Arabidopsis thaliana: one gene and its partners. The protein of the gene in region 4 interacts with the protein of the main gene of each other region in a pairwise test. Each region holds a gene or a part of one and is shown on either strand. Other genes may lie near its edges.

Region 1 (7,726 bases), on a different chromosome or scaffold from region 4:
TCAAAGCTTCCGTTTCTTTCCGTGAGATAGTCCCAACCTCGGCGAGATGGAGCTCTAATAACCAACAAAAGAAACATGATTTCCTGCTGTTGTATCTTGACAAGCTTGACGAGAAGAGAGAACTTGTCGGATCATCGTCTTTTTCGAGGTCTAAAAGGTTCGAGAAGGTTGTGGAAGATTCCAAGAAGCCGCCATTGCCACCTTCGGCGCCGAAGAAGAAGGAGAACGAGAAAGTTGCTAAGAAGTTTAAAGATGAGCCGAGGAAAGTTGCGAAGAAGAAGAAGAGTGAGAATCGAAATGACGTTAACGGAGCCAAGAAAGTTCGTTGGTTTCTTTCTCCATCTAAGAGTAAGTCGTCGTCGGAGAAGACTGCGCTTCTAGGAGAATCAAAGAATATTCGGGCTGATGAGTTTATCGGAAAAGAGAGTGAGTCGCCGGAGAATAAGTCTAACGCGAGTCCGGTTTCGGTTCTTGATCGAGATCTTTATGATTATCTAATCCTTGACGATGATTACTACTTCTCAGGTGAGTCTACGAAATAATATTCAAACATTTTTATCTCTCGAACAAATATTTGAACTTAATTAATTGCTTTTTGAACCTTCTTTGAAATTTTGCGAAAAGAATCATCTCATGTGAGTAGTTTCCTACTTTAACTGCAAATGAGGTAAAAATTTGGTCATTTGGTCAACATTTTAACCGATTCAGTACACTTTATTTGAAATACTAAATAATAAGATTATTCAAAATTTGACCAATATAAGAATTTTCCTTAAACGTTGGATTTATTTGAAAAATGATTAAATTTAACCAATATAAGAACATTTTCGCTTTTAACATTTTTCTTGATTTTACTGTAAAAAAAGCTGCGAAAATGAGACTTTCTCAACATTTTCGAGAAATTTTATTTTTATTTGCCCAATCATATTTTAAACGTCACTTTAATTTGAAAAATAAAACAGGAGGAGATTCAGAAAGTGCATCGGAGTTGTCAACAAAGCAAGTAGAGACAGCAACAAAATCTTCATGTTCTTCATCACCAGCAAAAACAAAAACAAGTACCAAGAAAGAAAACAACAATAGCACCAACAATGATTCAGAAGAGACAGAGTTTATCACAAAACTAATGAATATGCTCTCAGATCTGTCTGAAGAAGACATGAAGTCTTCCACTTGGGTTTCTACTTCGTCAACTAAACCCGTTGACTTTACTCAGGTCGAAGATTTTTGTGTCGAATTTGGTCAAGAGATTCTTGACCTTGTTATGGACCAGCTAGTTGATGAACTCTGTATCTAGTTTAAATTCCCAATTATCAGAAATATGTCGTTTTAAAATCTTGTAATCCAAATGTTAACCAGAGACTCACAACAATCGAAATTTTCATCACTCCATATTTTCTAAAAGTGTTATGCGGCCAATATAAGTTATTGACCAGAAAAATTATGGTTAACATTTATGATTAGTACTAAAGACTATAATGTACTCGTCTTAAATAGTCCTATAGACAAATATACCTATCCAAAACACAAGTATGTATATGGCGAATATCACCAAATAAGCACAAGGATAATCTTAGTGACTCGAATACTCGATCATAAGAATGAAATTAAATTCAAATTCGATATGACGAATTATCAAATGCATTATAAATACATGTAGTGGGTCCAAAAACGGTCAAATCGGTTTTCTTCTGAATTTTGGAGAGCTCCGTAACTTCGAAATACGTACTGTCTCCTTTATGTCTATTTCACATGCAAATCATGGTCTCCTTCTAACGTTACTTCTTTGACGTTTTTTTGTACTTTTCTGTGTTTTTTTTGGGGGGTTCACATGTAAAATTCAAGAACATTTTCCCACTCTAAATTATTTAAGTTTCGAATTATAATTATTTCATTTAGTCATAAACTATTTTTTTGCCAACGAAAAAGTGGTAAATATTGAAGGTCCTTGTATTCGAACTGGTGACCTCACAGAGTTGGTCACACGGCTCTATACAATTGAGCTGACGCGGCGTATTAGTAATACGTGTTTTTTAAAATGAACGGATATATTAGTGTGAACGCGTTATAACACGGTTTCATGTTTTCGGTATTTTTATCTGTTGGTAGCTGTCTTGCAAGAGAAGAAAAGAATAAAAATAACAAATTCTTTCTTTACAATTTACTTATGAACAAAATAAGTTTTATATATCACACAAATAACGCGGTGAAGTAATGTGGGACAAATGTGAATTGAAAGTTTTGGAATAAAGACTTTTGTTTAATTCTTGTTTATCGCCTGATTAATCGTTATGAAATATTCTTATTAACAGAATAAAGTAGCTAAAAGTATTCAACCAATTTGGTTTTGGACACCTATAACTATGAACAATATAATTCAAACTAGCATATCTAATTAATATCTATACAATTGTTTTATGCATGTACGTAAACTATTAAATGATTTATTAATTCTTATTCTTATCGTTTAGTTAATTCACATGTTACCTTATATTATATTTAGTAATTGCCTGCTCGTTTTACTCCCTCTCTATTTATTTTTCTTCCTCTAATATTGAAGGTTTATTTTTCTCCACCAGGATTTTTTTTGTTTTTAGAAGGATAAATTCATTTTCATACCACGATAACATATATCAAAATTTGAACATTTATCTTTCTTTTTGGAAATTTCAATAGTTCATATAAATATTATAAAACAAACATTAATTTAGATATATTATCTAAATTGATTTGCCTAACAAATTAACTAGCTAATTAACTTATGCTTAACACAAATAATGAGAACTTAGAAACCTTGATTATGATGATCATCATTATGATCTCTATTAAGCCTATTAAGCAAAGCATCGATGAGAGAATCTCTCTTCTGAGCCCTAGCTTCTTCTCTCAACCGTCTCTCTTCCTCTCTCTCCATCCACCTCCTTTCTGTGGCGGCTCTTTCCTCCTCTAGCTCCGCCATTCTCCTCCGCCACTCTTTCTCTCTCTTCTCCCTCTCTATCTCCTTCATCTCCCATGCATCTCTCCATTCCTTTTCCATCTTCACCGTTTGCCTCATAAACTCCTCCAATATATCTTTTAGTGTATTACCCGCAGTTTCAGCTTTCGTACCACTCGCAACGCCTTTTCCTTTTTTTGCACGTTTTCTTGGATTGGTCGAAGTACTAGTAGTAATCACTTCTGTCTCTCTTTTCTGTGTCTCTACTAAAGACAATAATTCCTCGTTGATATCTTGATTTGGTTCGTCAACTTCTTCTTCTTCATCATCAGATGAAAATTGATGATGTTTTCTCTTCGAGGAAGTGCTTGGTTCTGTGGCTTCTGACCACAGCATTCTTTGCATTCTTGCTTCAAAAATCGACTGAATCTCATTGTAGAATGGGAACTGCTGCCTAATAGCATCTGGCTCAGTGGTCTCACACGCCTGTCCCATGAATATTCATTATGTTATATAAACAATTATATGTAAACACGTAATAGTACCGACGCAAAATATTTTAGCTAACCAAGTATCTTAACTCGAAATCATATATCATAGGAAAACAAAAACACATGTTCATCATCTATATCACGTTTCTTTTACCTTAAATAAATGTGTGTATAGACTTTTTCAACTATCTTCATGTGTTCATCAGTAACGGTTCTTATTAAATCTTATGCACCCGTTATATAACGGTAATTATATTTTTATGGCATATTGTGTTACTTACTTACCATGTGATCAACGAACAAAAAGAGAGATATTATGGTATAACGGATCAAAATGTGAACATAGACAATATCATGATGAAAGCTCACCAATAAACGCGTAAAATTCTATTCTATAGCTCGTTACCATTAATGACAGGACAATATCTAAAAAACCTAGGCGATTAGGTTAAGCTCATTAATTGATGTATATATAATGTAGTTCACCTATACATACACCATAAACTAGGTTTCCATTTCAATATGCATAATATCAGTCTAACCACACAAACTAGTGATGAAATACATGATACACATAATTATAGTTTGTATATACTTGTAATCATGATCATACTAAACATTTATAGGTGTATATATCGGGACTATATATAGAGAGAATCATCAATAGGATTCTAAAGAGTTGAAGGGTAACCTTGTATCTAGTGACGAGGTTCTTCCACTTGCTCTTACATTGTTCTGCGCTTCGGACAAAACCCTTGTCGGCCATCTTAGCAGCCACGACTTCCCAAAGAAGCTTATTACGTTTGGTCTCCATGAAAGTTTGATCAAGTTCTTCTCTTATAGCCAAAAGCTCCTTTGTCTCCTCTATGCTCCACTGTGGGATTCTCTCCCCACCTCCTCCTCCTCCGCCGGGATCCATCGTCGCCGTGGTGCTCAGCGGCGGCGGAGGAAGCTGTTGCTGTTGGATCAAGTGATGATGAAGCTGATGGTGGTGGTGGTGATGTTGGAAAGGGTTACGTCGGTCCATTATTTGGAATCGAATTGTCTTTGTGACGTGAAGAGAAGAAATAAGAGGGAGATAATTTTATTTTTTTGTTGGGTTACTTATAAATGAAGAGAGGTTTCATTGAAAAAAAGAAGAGAAGACAGAGAGGAAGGAGAGAAAAGAGAAGAATCTAATTAATTTATAAGGATGTGTGAAAAGAAGGTGTGAAATCGTAGAGGGACGATAGAAGTGTAGTTTTTTGTTCTTTTCTCTAATTAAAATTATTAAGATGAGATTTTTTAATAATTATTGAATATACTAGAACTTATAGAATTATTTAGTTGAATAAAATACGAACACGAATGACTCTTTTGGTGAAAAGGACACAATTCGTGATTACATTAAAAATAATAAAGCTTAGATATCCCTTTTTCGGATGATAAACTCTAGATTTAAAGCAGCTAACTAAATAATTCATACTTTTTTTTTCTTCGTATTCTAGAGTTTAAAAATAGCAATCTCAAACAATTACAGGGGTAACTTGCATCAGTTAAGAATATCTTAAGTAAAAACAATCGCCTTAATCTTAGAGTAAAATCAAACAATATGTTTTTTTTTGACAGATTGATTATTTGTGTGCATCATTCTAAACACGCTTTCAAATTTGTAAAGTTGTAGAACTATATTTTTACTGTATGGTTATTGTTTTTCCTTGATGATGATTTTGTGACCAAGCTCAAGTACTCAACTGTCTCGTATTTTTTGCATTTGGTAGTTATTCGTTAATAATTTGTCCCAATACATATAAATGTTGCGTTAATATTTCGTCACGCTTACGAGTTACGAGTCACAATCCGATTTTTATTCTTCAATCCGATTTAGCCTTTATGGTCAATTGACCCACTAGATTTTCCTCATCCCATAATTCTTGTATTTTTCTTTTGAAAAATTCATCGTAACAAAAGTAACCTAATGGTTGACAGACAAAATATATTAAATAAGCTATTGGATCAATATGCTTTTAGAAGTTTAGATTAGCCCCGTGTCATGGAGGAAGAGATCAGATATAAACAAAGAATTAGAGAATTGTTGTTAGCAAGTTTTACATAATAGATACCTAACGTTCCTATCAAAATAAAAAAGAAGAAGAATTAAGTTACAGAAAACAAGACTACCGTTATGATTAGCTAAGAAATTAATTTGATTGGAATTGTAAATTCCCCCAAGAAAAAAAGAAGACTATTCATTTATGGATTGTATGATATTTAGTATATGAATAAATGGAAATCGTTATATTCGCAGTCGGCACAAAACAAATAATGCGTACGAACAGAGAAAATGTACTCTTGTTCTGAAATGGTTTGGATCCAGTGCAATATACAACTGTCAGATTCCCAAACACACATATGGTAGTACATATTTAGAAGCCGCGTCATTGCAATGATATAACAAGTAAAACGTACGGTGAATGAAACTTGTAGGAGTAAATATTTTTTATTTGTATCTAAAGAAAGATTCGTCGGGGTTGTATTTTTGGCTCTGATATGTGTAAGAAATACTAGTACTACTCAGTAGTAAAAAAAAAAACAAAAAAAAGTCAGCGAAGTGGTCCAAATAGCGATGAAGCGTGTTGAAAGTAAATCAAAATCTTACATGACATGCACTAGACTTCGCTCCCACCTGTCATCCCACGTGGATTCACACCTTATTTATTTATACTAAATTAATAATAATGTCGACTACTCTAGTGAATGATCTTTAATTTTTCTAATTCTTATGTTCAAAATTTGTGGTCTTTAATTATTTAAAAGAGAAATTGTGAATGAAGGAATTTTCTGTGAACAAAAGAAAGAATAATCAGTATTTTTTAATTTTATTTAAATGGAATCAAATAATCAGCAACGCGGAGTGTTGTTATATTCCACGTGTAAACGCCCACCATGTTTGTCCACGTGGCCATCTCTCTCTCTGTCTTTCACTTTTTATTTTAACAAAGATTTTTGTTGGCTGATGTTTATCCGCTCAATACAAGTAGGCCACCTCATCATCCTTTTTATTTCCCATCCAAATTTTTGCTTAAAAGAATTGAAGTCTTAAAGCAAAGAACAAAAAAAAAACGTCAGCCAAAAGCATATATACAAAAATCAGCCTATTCGTGTTATTTAGAACTTTTGAGGTGAATGTTGTTTAGGGTATCGCTCCGGATTATTCGGAAATAGTAATAAGTTTAGTCTTTTACTTTTGCCGTAACTTGGTGAATGCACATGACTTCCATTTTTGAATTTGGAGTCACTGCAACAATACATTGTTGTTACAAATACCAAAAACCTTTCTCACTGTTTGTAATACTGCTGGTTTTGAACCAAGACCATGAAAATGATATTTCAGTTGATTGCAGAAACTCTTCTTGTTCTTGAAAACATTCAAATATTTGACTAAACTAAACTCGATCTGTGTTTATTTTTTTGAATCTATAAATCATACTAACTTTATGAATGAATATTACTAATTCGTACATGTGGAGATATGCAAGTAATTTGCCTAACCAGAACAATCAAAGAGGAACATACATTAGTCTGTTTTTTCTTCTTCTTATTATTTGACAAGTAACAACAATTATTCCATGTCAACATCAGCACGTGAGGGTTGAAAAGATTTTAGTGAAGGAATTAAACGGGACAAGGTCAAGAAGATTGAAGAATGTGAGAAAAACGTAGAGATTTGGATTTTTTAATCAACAAAAGAAAAAGGTTCTTCAAATTTCGCTACTATGATTAATCAATTTGAATTACATTTTGACATATTGTTAAACGTTGATTTAGTCTTTCCAAATCTGTTGACAATGTTTACTATTAAACAAATATTGAAGCTTTTAGCAAAGAGATATAAGGAGAGACTTTACTTCACTAGTCGTCAGTCATTACTAACTAAACCGGCATCATTTGGTGGTATGTATTTCCCTTAAAAACCTTACCAAAATGCAACCAAAATAAATTAAAAAAACCATAAGCACATATTCTGCTTCTAAAAGATTCCAAAAAAGCTAGCAGATTGAAAAAACTGAAACGAGATGCTTCAATCTTTGGACATTCAAGGTGATAACATCCGCTTGATCCCTGATTTCTGCTCAGTGGTTAGCTTCGAAGGGAACTTGATGATGAATCTGATTCTCAAGTTTCCTTTTCTTGACGGATCTTTAGGGATCGGCATGCCTTCTCCTTTCACCACCTCTTCGTACGACGGACTGATCACATTGTTTACCGGAACTGTTAAGGTTCTTCCGTCAAGAGTAGTGACCTGTGCGGTGTAACCTGT
Region 2 (7,784 bases), on a different chromosome or scaffold from region 4:
TTAGGCAGAAAAATTAATATTTTATTTTGTTAACCTAAAACATTTTCAAAATAGGGGTAAAATGGTCACTAAAAATTAAAAGAGAGTATAAATAAAAATGACCAACATGAAATAGCATAGTTAAAAAGGGATAGTCTTGAAAGGGCATTTTTACCAATTTCTCTAAAATAAATCATATCTTTATATGTTTATAAAAAAAAAACATTTGATACCATTTTGTCTCTTTGTATCTCGTATCTCAAAATATTTTGCCTCTTTTGAATTTTTAGGCAGATGGGTATAAGAAAACTGGGTGTTATAATACAAATTGTCCTGGCTTTGTTATTATAAGTCGAGTTCCGCAAATTGGAATCGCTTTTAATGAATCCTCTATTTATGGTGGTAAAGGATCAGTTGTTATCAGACCACAAGTTTTCCAGGTAAATCTTCTTCACATTTTATACGACAAATAATTCGACAACAATGATAAGAATTTTAGTTATTAATTATTTTAATAACATGCCACAAATCCAAATTCTTTGTTAGGCTTTTGAAATAATCACATTCATCCGCATTATAATTTTCCATTTTGCAATATAGTGCATCAAAATTTCTTTTTAAAATAACATATATGCGTATAAAATTTAAATATTTTTGCAGTCATTTTCTAGTGTTTTATGTTTTGTTAGGATGGTTTCAGTGGAAACTGGGTACTAAAAGACACTGTCATGAACGAAATAGTTGGTTATTGGCCCAAAAAACTATTTACACACTTAAACAAAGGAGCTTCTTTGGTGCGATTTGGAGGAAATACTTTTACATCTCCGGATGGAATTAGTCCTCCAATGGGAAATGGACATTTTCCGGTTATTAGCTATTTTAAAAGTTCACATTATGTTCATGTTAAAGTTAAGAATTCAAATTATCAACTAGTTGATATTGAAAGCAGGAAAGCAAGGATATATGCAGATTCTTACCAATGTTATAGACTATCATACTGGGGTTATTTCAAGTCAACTGGAGTAAGTTTCTCTTTTGGGGGACCAGGTGGAAAATGTGGTATTTGATGACAAATGAATTATATGTATCGGCCGAAACTATATTAAAATTTAAAAGATAAATAAAATTTAACTAAACTATTTTCATCTTGTGAACAAAAAGTATTATAAGATCTTAAAAAAAACGCTTAAAGATGTGGGAATGAGAAAGTAATGTCAAATAAATCTATACTATATAAATGTTGAAACTATTTGCTTCTAAAGGCGTCTACATAGGATTTAGAACGACCAATCCGCGTTAAACATGTCATTAATTAACATATTTAGTATCTAATTAGTTAACAATTTTGAAAATAGTAATTACTTTCTATTTTAAAATTTAAAATAGAAAAGGAAAATAACAAATATTAAATTTAAACTTATAAAAAAAAAGAAGCTATAGAATTATAATTATGTAATATTAAACCCAAACCTTATAAGATCTTATACAAGTAATCCAACATTTTAATATAATTTAAAGAAACGTAACAAGGACGTGGTTTGATGGTGGTGTTTTTAATCGTATCAATTTGAATCAAGTTCTCGAAGATATAAACTAAGGTCTTTCAGTCTGGGAAGCGTGAAGGTGAAGAGGATCTAAACTGCATCAAAAAGGAGAAGTGATAGAGTTAAGTATCAATTTAGAAGCTAAAACGTTTTCTTAGAATAACAGAAAACAAAACAGAGTACATCTTGACGAGATTGAAAAATGCTTATACTAACAAGAAAAGGAAGAGATTTTCGAAGAAGAAATATGGAGCATGTGAAAATTTAAGAAGGTATGGCACATATTGCTTAGACAAAATCATAAGAGGATGAAAGAGACACTGTAAGAAAAAATGAAACAAATAAAACGAGTTTTTGCAAAAAGATAGGGAGAGTCATAGCTCTCTGTAAAAAAAATTGTGAAAGAAATTCATATACATATTGAAAAGAATGTGAGAAAAATATGAGTTGTTAAAAGAAAGTGTAGATAAACTTACGAATATATTTCTACAAAATATCTTATTTTTAGAAGAGCTATACTAACTAATGCAGCGAAGATAAACGAAAAACAATAGTAAATTTGCGGGTACCAAAATGAGAATCGTCGAATCTATTTCCTATACAACAATTTATTTAATACGTAAAAAAAGACGTCGTTATCCTAAATATCTAAAGCTAAAGAGAGAGTCATTAACCAAAAAAATGTTCTTTTGCTAAATGTTGTAAAATCTAAGAGTTGTATAAAGGTTATTTCTAGTTATGTATTTAAATTGTTACTATTTGTCATGATAATTTTAAAATTCAAAGAGTTTATAATATTAACAACAAATAGATATATAAAATCATATTTTCAAAATTTTCAATAAAATATTTTAGTCACACAAAAAACTGTTAAATTTTTTACAAATAAATCCACGCATGAGTTCATAGCTAGTAAATAAATAAAGAAACAACAATGTTACCAAAAAAAAACTGGTTAACGTATTTTCTAGAATTAACATGTGATGTGTATTTTATTCATTAAGCATCTCCTTAGTATATAATTATATAAATATAAATTTACAAATAAAATAATACAAGATCTTTACTAATCTTTATGTGGAAAACAAAAAAAAAACATAAGTAAAACAAATTTATGTGGATAAGAAACGCCATACGCATTCACGTATTATCTTGCCATGTTAGATATGATTCTCAATGTTACAAGAAAACATTTATGGTAAAATAATAAAAGTTTAGATCGCAGACAATGGACCTAAATGATCCCATAATTCATAGGATAAGTTTTCATTCTTGTTTCGAGCATGTTTAATATTTCCACTAACTGTTTTGCCCTCTTGATCTCTACATTCTCATCAAAGTTAATTAGTTCATAATACCATAAACTATTAGTATCCTCGTTCTCTTCTGCATGAAGATAATATTTGAAACCGATATTACATTCGCTGCACTATATATGGATTTGTAGGTTAACTCTAACAAAATCCAAATTACTCTAAAATACTACACATACGGTCCTACAAATTACTAATTAAAACCAGTATACTACTAAGATTAAATGATATGCTATAAGAATTTGGCTCGCCAAAATATAAACTAGGAAGAAATAATGTGGGGATGATAAATTACTAAAGCCTCACTAAAACTCAAATATGTCATCATATCAATCAATATATGAGTGTTGAGATTTGCCGTAGATATTATCTTCCCCCACCAAATAATTGTACCTACACTACACCCCAAACAAGCATATAAGAACAAGTTAATTTAGGTTAAGCAAAGCTGACAAAAGATTAGAGGGAACCATCTCTAGTAAGCTTAGCAAGCAATGCATTGATAAGTGAATCCCTCTTCTCTGCTCTCATCTCCTCCCTCGACCGCCGTTGCTCCTCTCTATCCCGCCACATCCGCTCCATTGCCAACCTCTCCTTCTCAAGCTCCTCCATCTTCCTTCTCCATTCTTCTTCTTTCTCTGCTCTTTCCTTCTCCCTAGCCTCCCATCCTTCTCTCCACTCGCTCTCCATTCTCACTTGATGTCTCATAAACTCTTCCAACACTTCTCTTACACCATTATTGCTATTACTACTATTACTACCGCCTTTTCGCTTCTTTGCAATGTTCTTTTTCGGATTTAGAATTTTTGGGTCGTTGCTGACATCTACTAGCTCTTCATTCACATTCTCTTCTTCCTCATCTGAAGAATACTCTCTCTTTCTCGCTGCCCCGCTTGTTCCCCCTCCTCCTCCCTCGGATTCAGCCCATAGCATTCTCTGCATTCTAGTGGTAAATATATTTTGCATATCATCATAAAAAGGGAACTGTTGTCTCGCTGTCTCTGCCTCCATTGTCTCACATCCCTAGAAACATCAAGCAATACATCACCAATGAGATTGTATACATATAATTAAACTACTTAGCAGATTATGGACAACAAGATTCAGAAATATTTACAATGGTGTTTGTCTATATGTCCCGGAAAGATTATGGACTATAAGATTCAATATTTCTTGGTTACAAATTTTTATTTATTTATTTGTTCCATGCAAGACCTCCAAGATTATAAAACATCCACAAAATGAAAGAAGAGGGAGAGAGAGAATAGACCTTAAAACGAGTGACGAGGTTCTTCCACTTGCACTTGCACTGTTCAGGGCTACGAGGAAAGCTTTTGTCTCTCATCTTGTTAGAGATAACTTCCCAAAGAAGCTTGTTCCGTTTTGTCTCCATGAAAGTTTGATCTAGCTCTCCTCTTATCCCTATCAACTCTTTTGTCTCTTCGACGCTCCACTGTGGAAACCTATCCCCAACAGCTACCGGAGAGGCTATTTCCGGCGTTTGCGATTGAGTATGAAGATGATGCTTGTTGAGATATTGAAGCTGGTGAAGGTGATGATGCTGATGTCCATCCATATGAAAGAATCAAGAAGAAGAAACTATAAAAAAAAAATAAAGAAAAAAAATCACCAAACGATCTCTAAAGCAAAGATTTTGAAGAAGCTTTCACTTTTTCAGATCGAAAAACAAAATATTTCTTGTTTTTCTTTATCTTTTGGTTTTTGTGTATTTGTAATGTGAAAACGTTGGAAGAAAGAAGTCTAATTTTCTTTGATCGCAATTCTTTTCTTCTTCTCCACTCTCTCTTTCTCCTGTCGCCATCTGTCTACGCGTTTACTTTTTTCTCTGTCTTGGATTTTTTCTAATACAATTTACTTTTTTTTTGTGTGTCTTCTTTTGACAAAATATTAAAAAGAAAAAAGCTTTCGGCAGATTTGTCATTTCATTTCTAATAGTATATAATTAGTTAAAATATCGATTGAAATGGTATTATAGAGCAAAGGATAATTAGCGTCTTAAACTACCAGTCAATTCGTTAATAAAAGATATGTTGACTGGTGATCAGGAGAGATGTGGATATTTCTATCGTTATCTCATAATGTAATCACTTTCATTTGACAAATAGTATTCTAGATTCTGACAGTCGACATATTTGTCAAATATGTGTATGAAATGAGTTTATTACTGAGTTGGTTTGGTAAAATGGTAGGGATAATAAATTTAATTAAAATGATGATAATTTTTTATATTGCTTTAAATATAAAAAACAGTAAAATATTAAAGAGAAAGTCAAGTCTTTAAATAATATAATACAATTTTTCTTTTGTCAAAATAAATTAGAGTGAAAGTGTAAGAAAAACATAGGTGAGTGGTAAATATTTCCTATTGAGTTATAGAGCTCTTTATGTATTTTCTGTTTAATCTGCTTTTTCATTCATACTATAATGAGGAATCAAATTGATGTGACGATAACATTGCGTTGAGGTTTCATCATCACCGCGAGAAGTTTCGGTTTGTATACTTTTTGTAATAATACTGTGTGGTTATTAATTCTCGGCGACCAGTCATATCCTTAGCTTCATGCCCAAGTTTCTATTTACTACTTTGTCTTTGTTTATTTTTCCCTTTTTCAACAAAATTCGATATTTTTCTAATTTTGAGCACCTTTTTTAAATACAAAACTAGGTGACTTCTCTAGAATCTCTCGTTTCCTAAATTCCTTCACGTGTTATTCCTTGTATGGTTATCAAAATAACAAAAGTGTTGGAATGATTTCTTCATTCACGAAATGACAAATTATAGTGTGACACGTGCGTGGAACTAGCCAGCTAGGAACAACATTCTAGAGATGTGAAACTTGTTAGGCCAATTTTGAATTTTTTTAAAAGCATGAACATGACAAAAAAAAGCATGTGCCAAACTAATTCATTTTCAACTTAAGGTTTATTATGGGTTGGCAGCCCAAACCCATTCTACACAGTTTGGGCCCAATTTGTCTTCGAGTGATGTACAATTTGGCAATTGGACTCACATAAGAACAAATTTTGTGTAACCCCTACAATAGATGAAAACTGCAACTCTCTTCTAAAGTAAAGGACTAAAGTCAACCTAGTCCCTTAAATGAGGTTTGGAAAATTCTTTGTCTGCCTCGTTCACTTTTATTTTGCCTCGTTTTATGTATCTGTTGAAGGAACACCACTTGGTTGATTATGGTACGAAAAACATGTTATTTGGACTTTCACCAAATTTATGTCGATATAAAAAGATCAGTACAAATTTGTTATTGATTTTATTTTTAGAGGCTACATTTCCTATGGTTTGTGACCAGACTATAGCTAGCTACAATTTTTTTATTGTATTTTTATTGCGAAAAACTTAGTTGCATATATTATTCACTAAAACAGAGATTTTTTGTATAGTAAACAGTGAAGGTAAAATTGTTAGCAAACAAAAATTTTGTAGAGTCAAGAAAAGAATTTTTATATATATATATATATATATTTTTTAGAAACAACATATTTTTAATAATAAAAATAGGAAGCTTCAAATACAGCATTGAAAAGAGTTTAACGAAGAATTTTTGTTTTCGATTGTATTTAAATTTATATAATATATACAAACAAAAAAAAAAAAAAAAAAAAAATTGTCACGTGTGCGTTTGGTAGCTGTAAATGAATGCATCTTACACAGTAGCCCACATGTCGATTTTGGTTTTTCTTCATTTTTTCTTCACCACATAGCTGTTGTCTTCAAAACAATCAACGAGTTTTTTAGATTTGTTGATTTTGTTGTTTTGGATTATTGTTGATTTTGCCATTTTAGATTTTTCACTTTATCTATAAAAAAAAAAAAAACTATTTTCTGCCACTTAAAAGCTAAAATTTTGAGAAACTTTTTAAATAAAAATATGTATTTGAGAATTTTGTTTCATTATGTTTCCATTTTTTTTTTATAAAATACATAATAACAAATATTATACCCTAAAAAAATAGAACCAAGTAAACCTAAATGTGTAAATTGTAACTTTAGATATAATTTTTTCGGCAAATCTATGAATGCCACTAAAAATCCTTATCTGGTAATTGATTCATTTATTTATTTATTTATCACACTATATCACATCATTTACGTTCACAATATTCAACATATTAGGCGGACAATTTCTTTTGTCAACATCACGGATCTAGTATTTCCTTTTGACATATCTCGATCTAGAAGATGAAAGAAATAGATATATAGGATGAAATGAATTTAATACCATCTAAAAGAACGTTCCTATTATATATGCTAATGTATAGCATCAAAATACCATTTGTACAAAGAAAAACAATAGATAATCGAATTTAACAGAGTTAGATTGATAAATGGTATTTCTTTAGTTGTCACGTTTTGAAAGCGTGATTCTATTCTCATGTTTAAACATTTGTCTTAAACGTTTTGTTATATATCATAGACATGTTAGAGATATAACTGAAAAAAAATCATTTAAATTAGTTTTTGAGTATTTTATAATTATTCTTTTGGGAATTTCAGTCATCCAAAATCATTCAACAATGTTGCGCCAAACAGAAGATGGTTCAACCACTATAATCAAACCATTTTTCAAATGATTTCGTTTTTTTTGTTTATTTTTTGGCTTTTGTGGATTACAAACCAAAACAATAATTTAAATTATGATGATCTCTACTTTAGTCTATATAAATACAATGACCATGAAAAAAATACACTATGGGTTTGGCTGTTTTCGTTCCAAATGTTGGCATGACCTCCACCGATAATCTGTTGTTGATTAGGTATTTTTAAGTCTGTCAATCGTGAATCGACATCTGATTGTCATCAAACTCTTATTCTATAAGATGCAAAAGTAGTAAAGCATAATCATTTATTTTACATAAACACATTGTTTATTACTTTTGTACATGTTGCAAACCGTCGCACGGCGCCGAA
Region 3 (8,001 bases), 500 kb from region 4:
AGAGCAGCTAGCACTCAACGTTAGCTGAATCCCAAATTGATACTTGTTTTGCAGAAATAATTAAAGAACATAATGAAACATCATGTTGCTATTAGAAAATTAGTAAACATTGTTACTTTATTACATTTATAGCTCTGAGACTATTTAAATAGTTTCATTGATAATTATTTTGTATTATTAAAAGAAAAATAAAATCAAACACGTATAGAACTGAAAGAAATCTGTTTCCATTTCAACCTATTCGTCATCGTGGATAGACGAAAGAATCCTTGGAAGGTTGATTAAAAATTTCACTCCTATAAGACTAAGACACCATGTCAAACTTGGTTGATCAATCCTAATCTTATATAAGAGAAGATTAAAACAAGATTAGCACGTACTATATATTTTATTATTGTTAATCAGAGATATGTTTAATTGTTTATGCACAAATGTAGATAAATTATGAACTAACATTATACAATTAATAATAGGTGTAGTCGAATATTCCTTATGGATATGATATTAGTTAATATGAGAAGTAATGAAGTATAGACCAAGAAAAAGCATTTGTTGCTTTACTATTTGTTTATTTTTCCATGGTTTGATCTCATAATGGTCTTAAAGTAAGTATCAAGAGCTATTTAGGCTTTTTATGACTCTGAAAGGTCACATAAAGATCCTGCTTCTAAGAGTTTAAAACCCATTCCAATCTATTAATAAATCATATCATAAGGAAACCCTAATCCGATTCCTGTTCTTTTGGATCCATCGTCAAATATTAAATTATTAATACTTACACATCTATAGAATCAAAGAAGTATTTGATAATAGTAATATTATTGAAGATTTGAAATAGATCAAACCGCCATCTCGGGAACTCCAATAGCCTTTCTCAATGTTCAAGTTTCCCAATGGTCTTCGTATTCAAATTAAATTATCAGTAAGAATATTATTAAAACTGTAGCCCCATTTGTTATAAAGGTAGTAGAAAAATAGGTCACATGGCTCATAGAGTCACATGAAAGGATCCCTAAATTTGTGAACACTTATTTAGTAACTTGGTAGGAATTTTTAAAGATATTTAACAACTTGGTATGATTTTTTTATGTTTGAGGTGATGAAACCATAGGAACCAAGAAATTTTGATTAAAGGATAACTTATCAATCGAAATCATTTTGATTATTGATTCAGAAAACCTCGCAAACGAACAACACTTAATAAACAACAGTGAGAGCGAACAAGAAAACCCAACAATTGTTGTTGTTATAGAGAATGAGTACAAGTCAAGAGATATTAATTGTATAGTAGTGTCGAGAGTTAGAATGGTCAGCAATTTTCATGTGGCTTTACACCTTGTTTCTTGCCCTTAAGTTACAAAAAAACTTGTCTTTTAACATATTTTGGGTTTAATATTTACACAGTTATATACTTATATGGAAAAATTGTATTTACAAAAGTAAAAGGAACAAATAAAGAATAATTCACTCCACGAGAAGGAGCCCAACGTGCACATTTGTGTTAATATCCAGTACAAGCAACAAGAGAATAAAGTTTAACCTGAAAAACATATTTGCAGATTATGCTCTTCAGATTCCGGCATATTCTACCGAGTTCCGATCCTTCTGTATGGCATAATTTTTTTTATTTTCATTCAAAAAAGTTTATATATGTATTTTTCTTCTGTTTTCGAAGACATTTTACATTTCTACAATGTTTCTGTGTATCTTATATTACTATAGCAAATAGAAACCTGGCCGACATACATATGTTAAGGACGAAATTAATTAATTTGAGTTTGTGACTGACATTTATTAATTTTGGTGGCTAAAGCCTCTATAAAAATATATGCTGATAATATACCATCATTCTACATATAATTACGATTCTTTCTATATACGATTCTTCAACTAGTAATCTAATAATTTTGTGTTATTAACTTATTATCATCGATATGCATATTGCACGACGTAAAAAAATATAGTATGCATTAGCTAATATGGATCTTTGATCAAAGATATCATCGGCTAATAGAAAAAAACCAAGAAACTAAAAATAACATAGAGTCACGCTCCAACATCTATATATATACACTCTTCACAATATTAATGTCTATAACTTTTTTCTCTTAATAAATAATCAAAAATTAAATTTATGATATTATTTTTGCATCTTTCGTCTTTGTACGAGTAGAACAAGACATAGCTGGTGAGCTACACCGAAAAAATCCGTTGTTAGAGCATCTTGATCTATCTTCCGAAATCTTCCTACCAAAATTGGAATGCCTCGGCCACTCGGACGGCAACGAACTGACCATAGGCCCATAAATCCCGGTGGTCTCACCCGATGCGACGGCGTTGACTGCGTTGGCCGTTGAATGGTTAGTCTGTGGGACCCATATTCCACCAACCACCACGAAATGTTGCGTTTGAGAGTTTCTGTTGTTCGGTGTTGTTTGGCTTGGCCGTCTTGCATGCAGCCTATATTTCTATTTATCATTAAAAAAAATATGAAACAATAAATATTATTTTCCTTCTAAATTATAAAAACATTTGTAACTAAAATGATGAAATTAATATATACCTTTTACATATTAGTTACATGTATTTTTCATGGAATATGATTTACTAACCTGTAAATGACTTTTGACTTCATCATTTGTTAACCCATCAACCTTCATTATATCTCTTATCTGTTTCGGCGTAGCTACTTCAAAATTTAGTGAACAAAAAGGTCATTACGAATTAATTAAACTTCATGAGCCCTAACAAAAAGATATGACTACTGATATATATGTTTTAACTTAAAACCAAGAAACGCACCATGAGGGCCACCAAGTTGTTTAAGAGCGTTCAAGAAGCGTCTGTGTAACTCTTGCGACCAACACCGCCTATTCTTTCTCTGCCCTCTTCTGCCACCGCCACCGCCACTGCCACCATCGCTAGTAGTCACCGGTGATTTTATGTTGTTGTTTTTCTTCGCTGCTTCATCGTTTATTTTTATCAACTCTACCAGCGTCTCTGTCTTTTCTTGTGAGCGATCCTGAATACGCAAAATGCTATTAGAAACTTAAATTACAAAACAAAATCTTTTTGTGAGCAATTTACTATCTTTTTGTGCACCCATCCTTTTTCGGTCTATTAAAAAAAACAAAAACTGGAAGAAAAAAGAATAATCTATTTGTGAAGTTGTAAGTTACAAACACAATCGCATAAAGTACACAGAAGGTTATGCGTTTAGTCTTTACGTTAACAATTAACAACGTCAATAGGCTGGTTTGGAAACAATACAGTAAATGTAATTCAAGGCAAACAAAAACACAAATGTAAACAAAGAAAAAATAAAATAAAATAAAAATCTTACCTGTCTATTATTAGAAACAACTGCGTCGGATTGGTTCCAGAGCTGAACAGACTTGAGCCATTCAGATTTCATGTTCTTGTCATCAAAATCTATGTCGGTTTCATGAGACTGGTGTTCTTCATCATCATCATCTTTGTCATCAACCTCTTCTTCTATGGAGGTCGAAGAGTGTTTGATTGGTATGAACAGATCCAAGATGCGCCCACATTCTCCGGTGGTCTGCTCTGAGCACTCCGACTGTCCGTATAAGTTATCCGTCGACGTCCCTGATATCTCCCTCTTATACGCCTCAATCGCTAAATTCCATAAAACATTTTTTAAAAATCTTTAGATCTAACATTTAATCCATATATATAAACTCATTATATCTTATATGAAATGTAAATGCATATGTATGTACCTTGAGTCACGAGCTCTACGCAAAGAGGAAGCTCGCGTTGGAAAACATTGATCTTGCGACGTTCTTCTTCGAGAGCTTCGATGTACTCGCAACATTTTTCACGTTTCTGATTGTCATTCTTCATATTACTTAAGTTCTTGATCATGCTGGTTTAAGGGACAAAACAAAAAACCAGCTTTGTTTTCGAATAATTGATAACTTTAACTATAAAGTTAGTCAAGAAGAGATGAGTTATGTCTCTTTATAAAGACAACGTATATATGGCTCTATAGGGTTTCTCAAGGATCATTATTTGAAAGAGAGAAGTCGGGCCGTCGCATTACAAGGCGAATCTTGCTTTTGTTTATAAAATAAGTATATACCTTCCCAAGTTAAATATTTTTTTTTCCCTTGTTGTATAGTAGTATTGATCCAGTGGTGAATATTCCTGGATGTGATTCCAAGTTTTTTTCGTGTGAACTTTATATTTATTTGGGTATATCCAACCAAGGTTTAAAGAAGTCCTATAACAACATTCATAAGTTAGAAAATGTCTGCGATTCCACTACAACAGAAATCGAATTTTGGAAGACTATAAACTATTCATTCTATTATTTTTACAAGTTTGATTATTATGTCATTTATAGAATTCAATACGTGGGAAAGAATATATGCAAATCCTTAAAAACAGCCGCCAAAATAACACTAAACGTGCATGAGCTCTTTTGTTCTGTAAGTATTAATTTCACCCACACAAAATCATATATAAAACGTTGAAAATGTATTTTTCAATATCCCAATATGAAAAGCCAAATGTCTCTTCGTAGACAGCCGAAACATGGGAGAAGAAAAGCCATATATAAAAAAAAAACTGTAATATACTTGTTGAAATTTCATAGGACCTTGAGAATTTGTTGAATTCGTTATAACCTTATCCATAAATACACATGTAAACTAATATATATATCCACACAATATGAGTTCCTATATATCTCGTGTTTTTGACCGGTAATTTTAATTATGTCAAGTAGACGATTACTAAGTACACCTACTAATATATATGCGAATGCATCTTCCCAGTATAATGGCCTGCCAATGCATTTCCCGGTCAAAGATATAACCTAATGCTACACATATCAATTTATATGCTATGCTGTTGTTATATCCATATAATTTGGAATTAGATATGAAATCAAACGTGATTAAGGGCTCTAATAGCTGTCAACTTTAATGATAAGAAAATATGTTGCCTCTATAGAAATTGGTGTGTAATGAGCTAATATGTTCGGGTGATGTCCAAAATATCAAGAAATTACCCGCAAATTGTTAGAGACCAACATCAAATTTATTACTCAAAATTTTAAATATCGATTTATATGTTATGATGTTATGATACAAATAGATCCACCTATTCGTAGTCTCGAGAAATCAAAATTGTGTTTAACAGGCTTATCTGTTTTGATTAGATTGAAACGTATTTTAAATAAAGAAATTAGTTGGCAAATAGAGTTTAGAGATGTATTTTAGTGTTGGATTATAATTGTCCCCTCGGAGTCTCAAAAGGCCATATTCAGTGTTCACCACTGGCCGCGGCCGAACAAAAAGACGGCCTCATGTATTGAACCCAACATGCCAACTTTATATACGGCCTTGTGTATTGTTTCCTACTTGGGCTCAATTTATCATCAATTTTTTCCACCCCTTTCTCGTATCTCCAATATTCGTATGCAATAGTACCACTAAACTCCCCAATATTCGTATGCAATTGTGAACCAAAAAAAAAGGTACCACTAAACTCCCCAACTTTGTGGGCTTCCCATATTGATATCAAACGAAAATATCTATATATAAACTTAAATCTAAAGTATAGAAGAAGAAAAAAAATCGCAAAATTGGTGGTAACCTATAAATTTTCAATTGTTTAAGATCAAACCAATGAACTCATCCTCCTAAAAAAAGATAGAAAACATAAACAAATACTGTATTTATCCTCAAATACTTCGTGATTTGTTTGTCAAAAAACTGGCATAAACGTTTAAAAGTTAGGTGATAATACCCAAGTGTCTCGGATCTATCAGACCCTATTTTTCAATTTGTATACTACTTGATATATGTTCTATGAAACTAAAATCTTTTTCAATAAAACGGATCACAAATCCGAATTTTGCATTCTCTCGTAGCTAAAATTCTCTCTTTTTTGGTATTACAAAAAAAACACCATCTTGGTTTTTATATTTGGTAAATAATTCAAAAAGTGCAAATAAGATATTTATTTTTTTTAACATTCGCAAAACTAAACTTAACTTTGTTCTTTTCTCATTTATGATCAAAACTTATGGTCAAAATCTGAACTTAAATGTCAGAAAGCTTACAGAAACATGACAATAATGTTCCTGACATATGATGAACCTACAAATAAAATTTCCCTCCAACACATGTTTTGACTGGTAGACACAATAATATCGATCTTTAGAGTATAACAATATTACACGATTCACTTGACAAGATGTTAACTTCTCAATTTAAAAAGATAGCCAGCAATAACTAGGTTGCTTTTTTTAGTTTTAAATATCTGTGCCAACAACAAATTAGCGTTAAAGCATTATGACATTAACACAATTAACACCAAAACCATAACGAACCAAAAAATATTGTGTTACTAATTACTAGCATTAACTCCACTACCCTAACTGTGTATATGAGTGTACCATTTTAAACCATAAGATTAAAGGTTCTAGCTATCAATTTATTCCGTGAAAATACCGAAACTAATGTAAAAAGTTTTACTTTGAAATCGAGTACAACAGTTCCACGTTGTAGAAAGACCAGTTGTAATCAATAAAGTCACATCAAAATAAATACTTTATTCCCTCAACACATCATTAACTAACCTCACACAACTCATCAAAATATTCTATTACAAAACAAAACAACTATTAAACAGCTAATTACTTAATTAGTAAAGTTACTTATAACTCCACTAGGCTCCATCGCCTTAGCTTCCGGTGCCGGTTTCACATCCTTCGACGGCGTAACCGCCGTTCCAGTAAGCTCCAGCGGTAAATCATTAGCTAACCCTTTAAGGTAAAAAGTGTAGAACAGTTTTGTCGGATACACAAGCTGACGAAGCTTAACCTGTCCGTACGCACCTTCAAAGATTCCAGAGCCACCAGTGACAGCGAGGAACGTGTCTTCATAAGTCAAGTATTGTCCTTGTACAGACAAGTGACCATAGTCACCAAAGTAGAAGCTGTAACTAGCTTCGAATCTGTCACCGCTCTTTTCAGGAACGTGTTGGATCAAAACGCAGAGACCTGCCGTGATTCCCACGCGTTTCTTGAGATCGCCGGTGTAGAGTTTGTTTGTGAATGGGACGAGATCTCCGAGACAAAGCTCTGTTGGTTTCTTGCCGAGTTTAAGAACTGCTGGACTGTTTCTATCTCCTTCGTTGAGCTCATACACGTTTAGTTCTTGGATCTTACCTGAATAATTAAAACTCGAATTTATGAATTCGGTACTTTGTTTTTTTAAGATCTGATTATTTTTTAGACCAATCAATTTTGAGCAGGGCATTTAAAGATCTAATCGATTTTGCTTATGAAATAAAGCATTTTGATTTCTGAGCTAACAAAAAGGATTATTAGTCTTTAAATCTTGATTTGTCTCAAATCTAGGAAAAATATCGGATTAACAGGCGTTGACTTAGTCGCAGTGTACTAAAAGACAAAAGGATCTATAAACTATTAAACTTACTTGGTCTGGAGTTTTCGGTCTTCTTGCCCCAATTCCAGAAGAAAGCTCGAGTAACGTTGAGGTTCTTGGAAGTAGTAGATCTTGATCGGGAGGAGAAATCTGGACCGTTAGATGAGATTCCAAGGTTTTGGAAAGATCTTGAGAAACCAAGAAGAGAACTGCGGTGAGATTGATGATTACGAGAGAGATTGTTGAGAGTTGTCATAGAGATGGATTCAAGAGACATAGCAGCAGAAGAAGAAGCCATTGATCAAGAAGAGTTTAAATTTTTTGATATATGATTGACTATTAAGAAGAGATTGATCTTTGGTTTTAATGGTTGTTGAGTTTAGTAATGAGTCTATTTATATTGGACGATGATGAAGTAACACGTGCGTATATGTCAAAAGATGCTTTGTGTAGTTTCCACTCGGTTTCGAATTGTCTAAAAGCGTTAGCTAGAGAATTTTATGTATTTATTATTTATCGACTTAAAACCGTGTAATATTTATTGAGTACTACGAGATCTCAAAGTAATGGGAACATA
Region 4 (7,867 bases):
TACCGTTTAACCGAGGGAGCTTGTCCTGAGAGCTACGGACTTCAAGTGGCACTCATGGCTGGAATACCAAACCAAGTGGTTGAAACAGCATCAGGTGCTGCTCAAGCCATGAAGAGATCAATTGGGGAAAACTTCAAGTCAAGTGAGCTAAGATCTGAGTTCTCAAGTCTGCATGAAGACTGGCTCAAGTCATTGGTGGGTATTTCTCGAGTCGCCCACAACAATGCCCCCATTGGCGAAGATGACTACGACACTTTGTTTTGCTTATGGCATGAGATCAAATCCTCTTACTGTGTTCCCAAATAAATGGCTATGACATAACACTATCTGAAGCTCGTTAAGTCTTTTGCTTCTCTGATGTTTATTCCTCTTAAAAAATGCTTATATATCAAAAAATTGTTTCCTCGATTATAACAAGATTATATATGTATCTGTCGGTTTAGCTATGGTATATAATATATGTATGTTCATGAGATTGGTCAAGAGAAATACTCACAAACAGTATATTAAGAAGGAAATATGTTTATGCATTAATTTAAGTTTCAAGATAAACTGCAAATAACCTCGACTAAAGTTGCAAAGACCAAACACAAATTACAAAACTTATAAGACTTAAGTTCTGAATTCCCTAAAACCAAAAAAAAAAACAGAACATATTTTGTTGCATCTACAAACAACACAAACCTACATAGTTTATAACTTACTCATCACTGAGATTAACATCAGAATCATTCTCCATTTCTTCATCTTCACTCTCATCATCATCACCACCACCATGATGATTCTCCTCCTCTTCACGTAACCTAGCAATCTCACTCTGAGCTCTATCAACAATCTGCTTCTTCTGCAACTCCAAATCTCTCTGAAAATCAGCTCTCATCTTCTCCAACTCCTTCATTTGCTCTTTCTTACTCTTCTCCATCTTCTCATAAACCTTCCCAAACCTCTCAACAGAATCCGCCAACATCTTATACGAAGCAGCGTCATTAACCTTCTTCCTCTCGTACTCAACCTCATCATCCTCATCCTCCTCCTCTTCAGAATCACCAGGACTATCCATCATCTCATCAAACCCATTAGACTTATCTAAATAAACCTTAGTGTTCATAAACACAAACTCACCTGAATCAACACCACAAGCTAAACCTAAATCCGACTTGGGCGAAACACAAAGCAACATATCCAACTTATTGAAAAACGACCATTTACTTGAACCTAAACCTGATTTCTCAACCTTAATCTTCTCTTTTCTATACTTCCTCTTCAAGTCATCAATCATTCTCCTACATTGCGTCTCAGATTTCTCCATCCTTAGCTCCTCACTCACTTTCTCAGCTACTTCATTCCAATCCTCGTTCCTCAAACTCCTTCTACCCAATTGCAAAAACCTATCTCCCCAAACTTCAAGCAACACAAAAGCTTCTTGCTCTCTCCAATCATACGCAACTTTAGCATCACTAGGACCAGCAAATTCAAACCCAGAAACTACTTTGTTTGGTTTCTGTCTCTTCTGAAACCTCTCATTTCCACGAATGTATCCTCCTTGTGGATCTTCCTCTTCTCCTTCGACTTCATCTTCGTCTTCTTCTTCATTGTAATACGCGTGACGCTTAGGTATTGGTCTACTATACATTGGATGGTTTTGCCGATTCAAAGAGTAAAACTTTTTTGGGTATCCTGTTTCATCTTCGCTGTCACCCATCTTTGAGCAAAACCCAGAAAAGCAAAAGAAGAGAGAAGAAAGGCAGATCTAGGGTTTCAAATCGGACAGATAGAGATTTACCTGATTTTTGCACCTAATAGAGGAATATCTTGGAGGGTTTAGCTTTGAGAAGAGATAAGTAGAAGAAATTGATGAGGTTTATAAACCATGGCCGTGTCTAGGGTTAGGGATTTGCATTTTCAGCCGGGTCGGAGTAGAAGAAAAGCTACCACCACCGGTGAACATTGCCTCAGCCAGCGACGGAGTTTTGTCGCGGCGTTTGTTGGGACCATCCACTGGGTCATATTGGGCCAGTTTGGACAGCACTAATGGGCCAAGAGGACCACAATTATTTAATTTTAACCGATAGCCCAAGAGTTCCCAACTAAAACTAACGATCATTAAGAAAAGGAGAGTCTAAACTCTAACGAATATCAGCTTTGGTGTCGGTTAACTTATGACTTATGGGGTCAATTTCTGACATTTAGGGTCATAATATTTTGACCTTTAGCGTCATATTGGCTCAAAGGATTTGAAGCTGTCGATTTTTGGTGGGTTCGAAGATCTGCGAATGCAGTTACTGATCGACTAGCTAAAATGGGTGCCATTGAAACAATATGTTATTTTGATTCTCTGCTTTATATTCTTAAATATGCTACGTATGCTTTTAATTAATCTGAATAAGTTCAAAAATTAAAAAGGGCTAAGTTTTATTTTTCATATCACGGTGTTATTACTGAACTTGCAAGAGTTTAAGCTGCAAGAATATGAATTGCATAAGCATCTACTATGGGAGCCTCGGTTGTGGGAAATCTCCATGTGTCACATTATGATTCATACGTTTTTGAAAAATGTGAAAGTGTATCCCAACGATAATTCATTTAATACACTATGTAACGTATAATTTTTTAAATTATTAATGATGAAATCTTGTTTGAAGATGATAGTATTAAATTAAGTGGACTAAAATAGAGAAATGCCAGAACTCTTTATTTAATAATTGTTTGTTTCTGTGTTTTAATATAAATAAATGAATGTTATGCTTATTGCCAATGAAAATGTCGACCACGCTTCAATGTTGGTGAGTAATTATTATGCATCAAAAAGGAAGTAAGTATAACCTTAATGGAAATGATCATGGTAGTGATAAGGATCATAAATAATCGCAACGAATTTTGTTGCATCAATGCATCATACTATTGAATAACTAACACTAGTCTCGTACAATTTGATTTTAGGTGTTTAAATCTCGTTAGTGTAAATATAACGAGATAAACATTTACAATACAAAAAAAAAATTGAATTGTGTGACCTTGTAAGAACAGATTTTCGAAAAAAATTAAGAGTTGAGTCATTGATATGAAGAAGCTTCCAAGACAATGATATATGAATTGGTTAGAAACAAGAATTAATATTAATCATAACTCTTAAGTAACTCGGTCATTCCCACATTGACATAAGTAAAAAATAAATTTTAAAAGATTTGATACTTGAGTTTGGTATTCCTGCTAAGTAAAAAAAGAAGAAAAAGATTTGATACTTGAGTTGAGTTGGCATTGTGGACTTTAATTTCGTTTGAATCTCATTAACATGTTAGGCTTAATTATAATTAAACCTAGACGATTGACCTGTTTTGTGGGTAGATGTACCAATATATTTCAATGATTATAAAGGTTTAGTTTTGATCTCTAAATTTTCAATTTTTTTTAACAGTTTCATTTATAAAAAAAATTAATACAATTTTTTTATAAGAAAAACAGTATAGTTTAAAACAAGCTTTAAAAATTTCAAGTCTCAAATCAAATAAATAGAGATTGTTTTTTATGAGACAGTAAACACTACAACATCAACTTTCTTATAAAATATAACAAATTGTTTTACAAAATTCAGTAGGTAGAGTCAGACAGGTATGTATTCGTATAATTTTAACTTTTCAGATTTTTTTCATTAATGTAACTCATAAAACGTTTAAATAGATTAAACAGTGACATCTCATAATTACCTAATACTGATAAAGCAACAAACAATTTTAAGGTAATAATATAGTATTTTTATAAAACGGTTGAGCTAAATATTTGAGATACATACTCATTGTTCTTTAGTATCCAGTACTACTATTTACACAATCAACAAGAACAACAAAATTGTGATATATATTACAGTTCCTCCACATGAAAATAATAAAGTGAAGTAACGGTCCTAGGCTCCTAAACGGATATCTTGGGAGAGAGATGTGAACAAACTTGAAAATTCGTATGAAAGATTTTTGATAAGCCAATCATATTACATGTCACAAGATATCGATGAAGTGAAAATAAAAATGAAATTAGTATTTTATGGTTGGAAGGTCGCGTCGAGAACATAAGTGTAACGGAGAGAGAGAGTCAATGAGTGATCATAAAACCGTTACGAAGTTTCTCAAGTCTTTGACAACAATCTCTTTCAAACGCGTTATGAGTGGTTACGTTCGCTCACTCCAATGCCAACTATGTTGCTTTCACCAATTTTTTGTCTTTTGTCTTTACTTTGAGGCTTTGAGCATTTATTTCTTAATCTTTTATTTATTTTTATTTATTGATTTGACAAATATATAGTCCAAAAGTATCTTCGGTGATTTTTTTGGTAAGGGGATTCCTACGAAAGCAGGATGCTCTATTGCCAATAATATATATAGTTTAGTTAATTAATGAGGAAGTTTTTGGTCTAGTGTTAAAGATAAAATGTTTGCCAAAAAGTTGTAAAGCACTTTGATTTACATGAGATTCCAAATAGAAAAGACTTATTGGATGGAGAAGAAAAGAGAAATTGGTTATAAAGGATTTGATATTTAACCAAAATAAAAATTAAAAAACAAATTTGATGGGACACTGACTTGGTCTCTTGGTTAGAAGAAAAGAGATTTTGGATGGTCTGGTTGCTAGTAGATGATCTCAACCATAGTGGTCTGCTTCACCTCACTGGTCAAATGTTCATCTAAGCACTAAGATTTTGTATTTCTCTACGCAAGAACTTTTATTCTGTGTGAGCTTCCAGATTCATTAGTACTGGAAGGTAAAAGTAACTCTGATACATACTCAACTAGAGAATGAAGTTCACATATCTATAGAAGGATAGAAAATACAACTAATAGCAAATGATCATATACTCTAAGAAATAATTTCTTACCTCATAAGAAGATATGACAACCTTGTCATCTTCACAATTGCATGATATTTTCATAGTACATAATGTTACATACAATTATCAAAAATAGACTATAGAGTCTTTATTTTTTAAAAAAATCGCCAAATTTATAAAATTGTATGATTAGTTGGTGAAAAAAACAGAGATGGCTAGAGTGTATGAGAAACATAATGAAATGAATAATGAATTAACAAGTAACACTTGATGCACACACAAAAAAAAGAAAAAAAATCAAGGAACACTATTTTTTTGTCAATCATAATGCATTACAAATATAGAAAAGGTTTGTGGTGTATCATCCATTACAAGAACCCGATAATCCTAGAGATACAATAGCGTTATAGTAAATGTACATGAATATTTTGCTAATTGATCCGTCATTTACCATCGAATCTTCTAGGGTTTTTGAATTCTTGTGCATGGTTCTCATGAATCACATCTAGTCTATTAAGGAACATTATCTTCCTTATAATTACATTAACAAGACTAAGCATATAATAACAAAATACTTAATTTTATTTTATTCATTTTCTTTAAATTGAAAATGGCAGAAATAAAGATGTTGCATTGTTGGCTCAACAAGAGAAACTCGATAACCTATATTCAAATGTACAAATTATGTTTAAATAGTAATTAAAAGCATTTGGGTTCTTAAGATAATGAATGAATGTTCACACAGTATTTAGCGCACAATCAAGTGGACAAAAGACGTTGAAGACTTCATGGGAAACTTACCATGCGACCTACCTAGTTATTATAACTTCTTTCACTTGGCCTCCTCATATAGACGAAGCCGGTAACAGATGAAAATGTTGATCACCTCGTTCTATTATTTAAATCAAAAATTCATGACAAAATTTAACCGCATAGCATTGTTGATTTAACAAGAGAAGTGATAACCTAGATTCAAATGTATAATTTAGGTTTTAAGAGTAATTAGAAGCACTTGGTTTTTAAGAAAGTGAATGTTTGAGTATTAAAAATAGCAGTTGGTTTAAAATTTAAAAAGAATAAAACAGTACCAATCGTTAGATCATTATAGTTTTACTAGCATATTAAGAAGTGTTGCGAGATTTGTGATGAGAAAAATAGTGGTTACTTTCATATAAGCTCAGGTGAGAAATCTATATGTTTCTCCACGGAAAAGAATACTATGCATATTATGCATAATTTCCAAATTTATATACAATACGTACAAATCTAATAAAATAATCAAAAATATGTATATGTTTGCATGGTTCACTCTAGATCCTCCATACTAAGCTCCTTCATCAATCATCAACGGCTGATTTTTAGTGCAACACTTTCACCTTTTTCAATATTTTACACTGTAACAAGATCTGAATACTTGTATAATTCCTTCATATGGAGACACGATCTCGTGAATTAGTGAAGTTTGCATTATTTATGGGACCTTTTGGCCCACAAGAAAAAGTGTCAGGATACAAAACTTGTGTGTATAGGACGAGTTATACATACTTCTTAAACTAGTTTGAATGTTTAATATACGTCTCGACTCACTCTAGATGACTTCAATTCCTTCACATTGTTTTTCAACATAAAAAACATATGACTTCTTAAAAATACAAATTCAAATACTCTATTGTAATTCGGTTCTTACAATTCTTTTTGGCTATTGGCGAAATGTGCTCCTTTTGGCACGAATCATTAACATAACTTTATTTAAAAACTTCATAACGAATGTTTTACATGATGATGTACCATGGATACCAAGTAAATTTGAACAGAAGTGATTATGCAAAAGTAAAAAGCATATGGTTATTTTTCTACATATTTGTTTCGTTAAAGTAATATACTATTAAATTCGACTATCCAAAAATCGACACATGTCGGCGACCTAAAAGCCTCGAACATCCCGCTGGTCTATGAGAACATTACCTGATGTGTCAAAACGTCCCCACACGGTGTGCTTCATTGCGGCAATAACTAAGAAAAAGCTCCAAAAGCAAACTTAATTAGACAACTAATCTTTTGATTACTAAAGCGATTCGTTTGGTCCTCCTTCTAATGATTTTTATAAAACCTGGTAGTTAGGCTGTTAGGTGTCGCGAAATTCTTATAATTTATTATAAACCTTAATGGAGTCGGTTATCAAATTATTTGTATCCATGCTTTATAATAGTGTATGGGTTTGTAGAATGAATAAAAGATTCGAAAATGTATGGGTTTTATAATAGTGTTTTGGGTTTTTAAAACAGTGTTATACTTCTACATATCTTTTATGAAATCATAAATCTGCTGACTTAATTGTTTAGTGCTGCTCCTTGCCAAAGTTTCTGCCCGTGAAATGATAATGCTAGTGCTATAGAATTTGATAAATGTTTAGTAATATACATTAGAAAGTAGATATTATTATTAGGGTAAAACTAGGCTAATAGGCATTAATCATTCAGGTTATTATACGTGGATGTTGAACTCACAAAATGTTTACTAAAGATCGTTGGCATCAATATGTTTCGAAAGATTGCGAGCTTGCGCATCTCACCACCTAATGAAAAGCTGGTAGATAATCAGAGACATCACACATATATTCCCAAAACAGTACATGAACAATCATCACCGTAATCAGTCGAATATGTTTATTTTGATAGCATAGTCTAGGATCGAGCTTTAGCGGCGCATCAAATTTATGAACCATGTGATTCTTGCAAAAGATCGACAAGTAGCTAATATATCCGTCCCGCAAATTCGTAACATGTATCTGAATTCAGTCGAAGTAAAACGTTACAATAGCATTTTGCATCTCATAAGAATTTTTTTTTCTTAACTAGACTCTCTTATCGTATTAATTTTTTTAAACATATATTACATACAACATTTCGTTCGCACAAACAATTAATCTAGCAATGTGCATGGATTCTCGGCACTTAGGTATACCGTAGCCATCAATGATATGCCAATTTTTTTTTATAATGTTTTAGGTTTTTGTAATGCCAAATGCAGGGAATTTTATGAAAATGA

The links.
Region 1: the proteins of AT3G24490 (region 4) and AT5G01380 interact in a two-hybrid assay, tested with the Arabidopsis thaliana proteins (one large-scale study listed by BioGRID).
Region 2: the proteins of AT3G24490 (region 4) and AT2G38250 interact in a two-hybrid assay, tested with the Arabidopsis thaliana proteins (one large-scale study listed by BioGRID).
Region 3: the proteins of AT3G24490 (region 4) and AT3G25790 interact in a two-hybrid assay, tested with the Arabidopsis thaliana proteins (one large-scale study listed by BioGRID).

The regions. Positions count from the first base shown.
Region 1 is NC_003076.8:152,999-160,724, forward strand, and holds AT5G01380 (Homeodomain-like superfamily protein), read right to left. Parts: upstream 4,604-7,726; 5' UTR 4,454-4,603; coding exon 4,118-4,453; intron 3,422-4,117; coding exon 2,786-3,421; 3' UTR 2,612-2,785; downstream 1-2,611. Other genes in the region: ACI1 (ALC-interacting protein 1), read left to right, coding at 1-525, 963-1,297; AT5G01390 (DNAJ heat shock family protein), read right to left, coding at 7,502-7,726. UniProt on the Arabidopsis thaliana protein: Probable transcription factor that binds specifically to the core DNA sequence 5'-GTTAC-3'.
Region 2 is NC_003071.7:16,015,012-16,022,795, reverse strand, and holds AT2G38250 (Homeodomain-like superfamily protein), read right to left. Parts: upstream 4,587-7,784; 5' UTR 4,413-4,586; coding exon 4,107-4,412; intron 3,860-4,106; coding exon 3,296-3,859; 3' UTR 2,640-3,295; downstream 1-2,639. Other genes in the region: AT2G38255 (hypothetical protein (DUF239)), read left to right, coding at 270-452.
Region 3 is NC_003074.8:9,409,083-9,417,083, reverse strand, and holds AT3G25790 (myb-like transcription factor family protein), read right to left. Parts: upstream 4,033-8,001; 5' UTR 3,889-4,032; coding exon 3,744-3,888; intron 3,640-3,743; coding exon 3,344-3,639; intron 3,023-3,343; coding exon 2,803-3,022; intron 2,690-2,802; coding exon 2,613-2,689; coding exon of another isoform or gene 2,574-2,612; exon of another isoform or gene 2,469-2,573; coding exon 2,133-2,468; 3' UTR 1,844-2,132; downstream 1-1,843. Other genes in the region: AOC3 (allene oxide cyclase 3), read right to left, coding at 6,675-7,204, 7,476-7,722. UniProt on the Arabidopsis thaliana protein: Probable factor involved in nitrate and phosphate signaling in roots. Integrates nitrate and phosphate starvation responses and adaptation of root architecture, depending on nutrient availabilities.
Region 4 is NC_003074.8:8,904,857-8,912,723, reverse strand, and holds AT3G24490 (Alcohol dehydrogenase transcription factor Myb/SANT-like family protein), read right to left. Parts: upstream 2,303-7,867; 5' UTR 1,703-2,302; coding exon 701-1,702; 3' UTR 501-700; downstream 1-500. Other genes in the region: MSH7 (MUTS homolog 7), read left to right, coding at 1-306.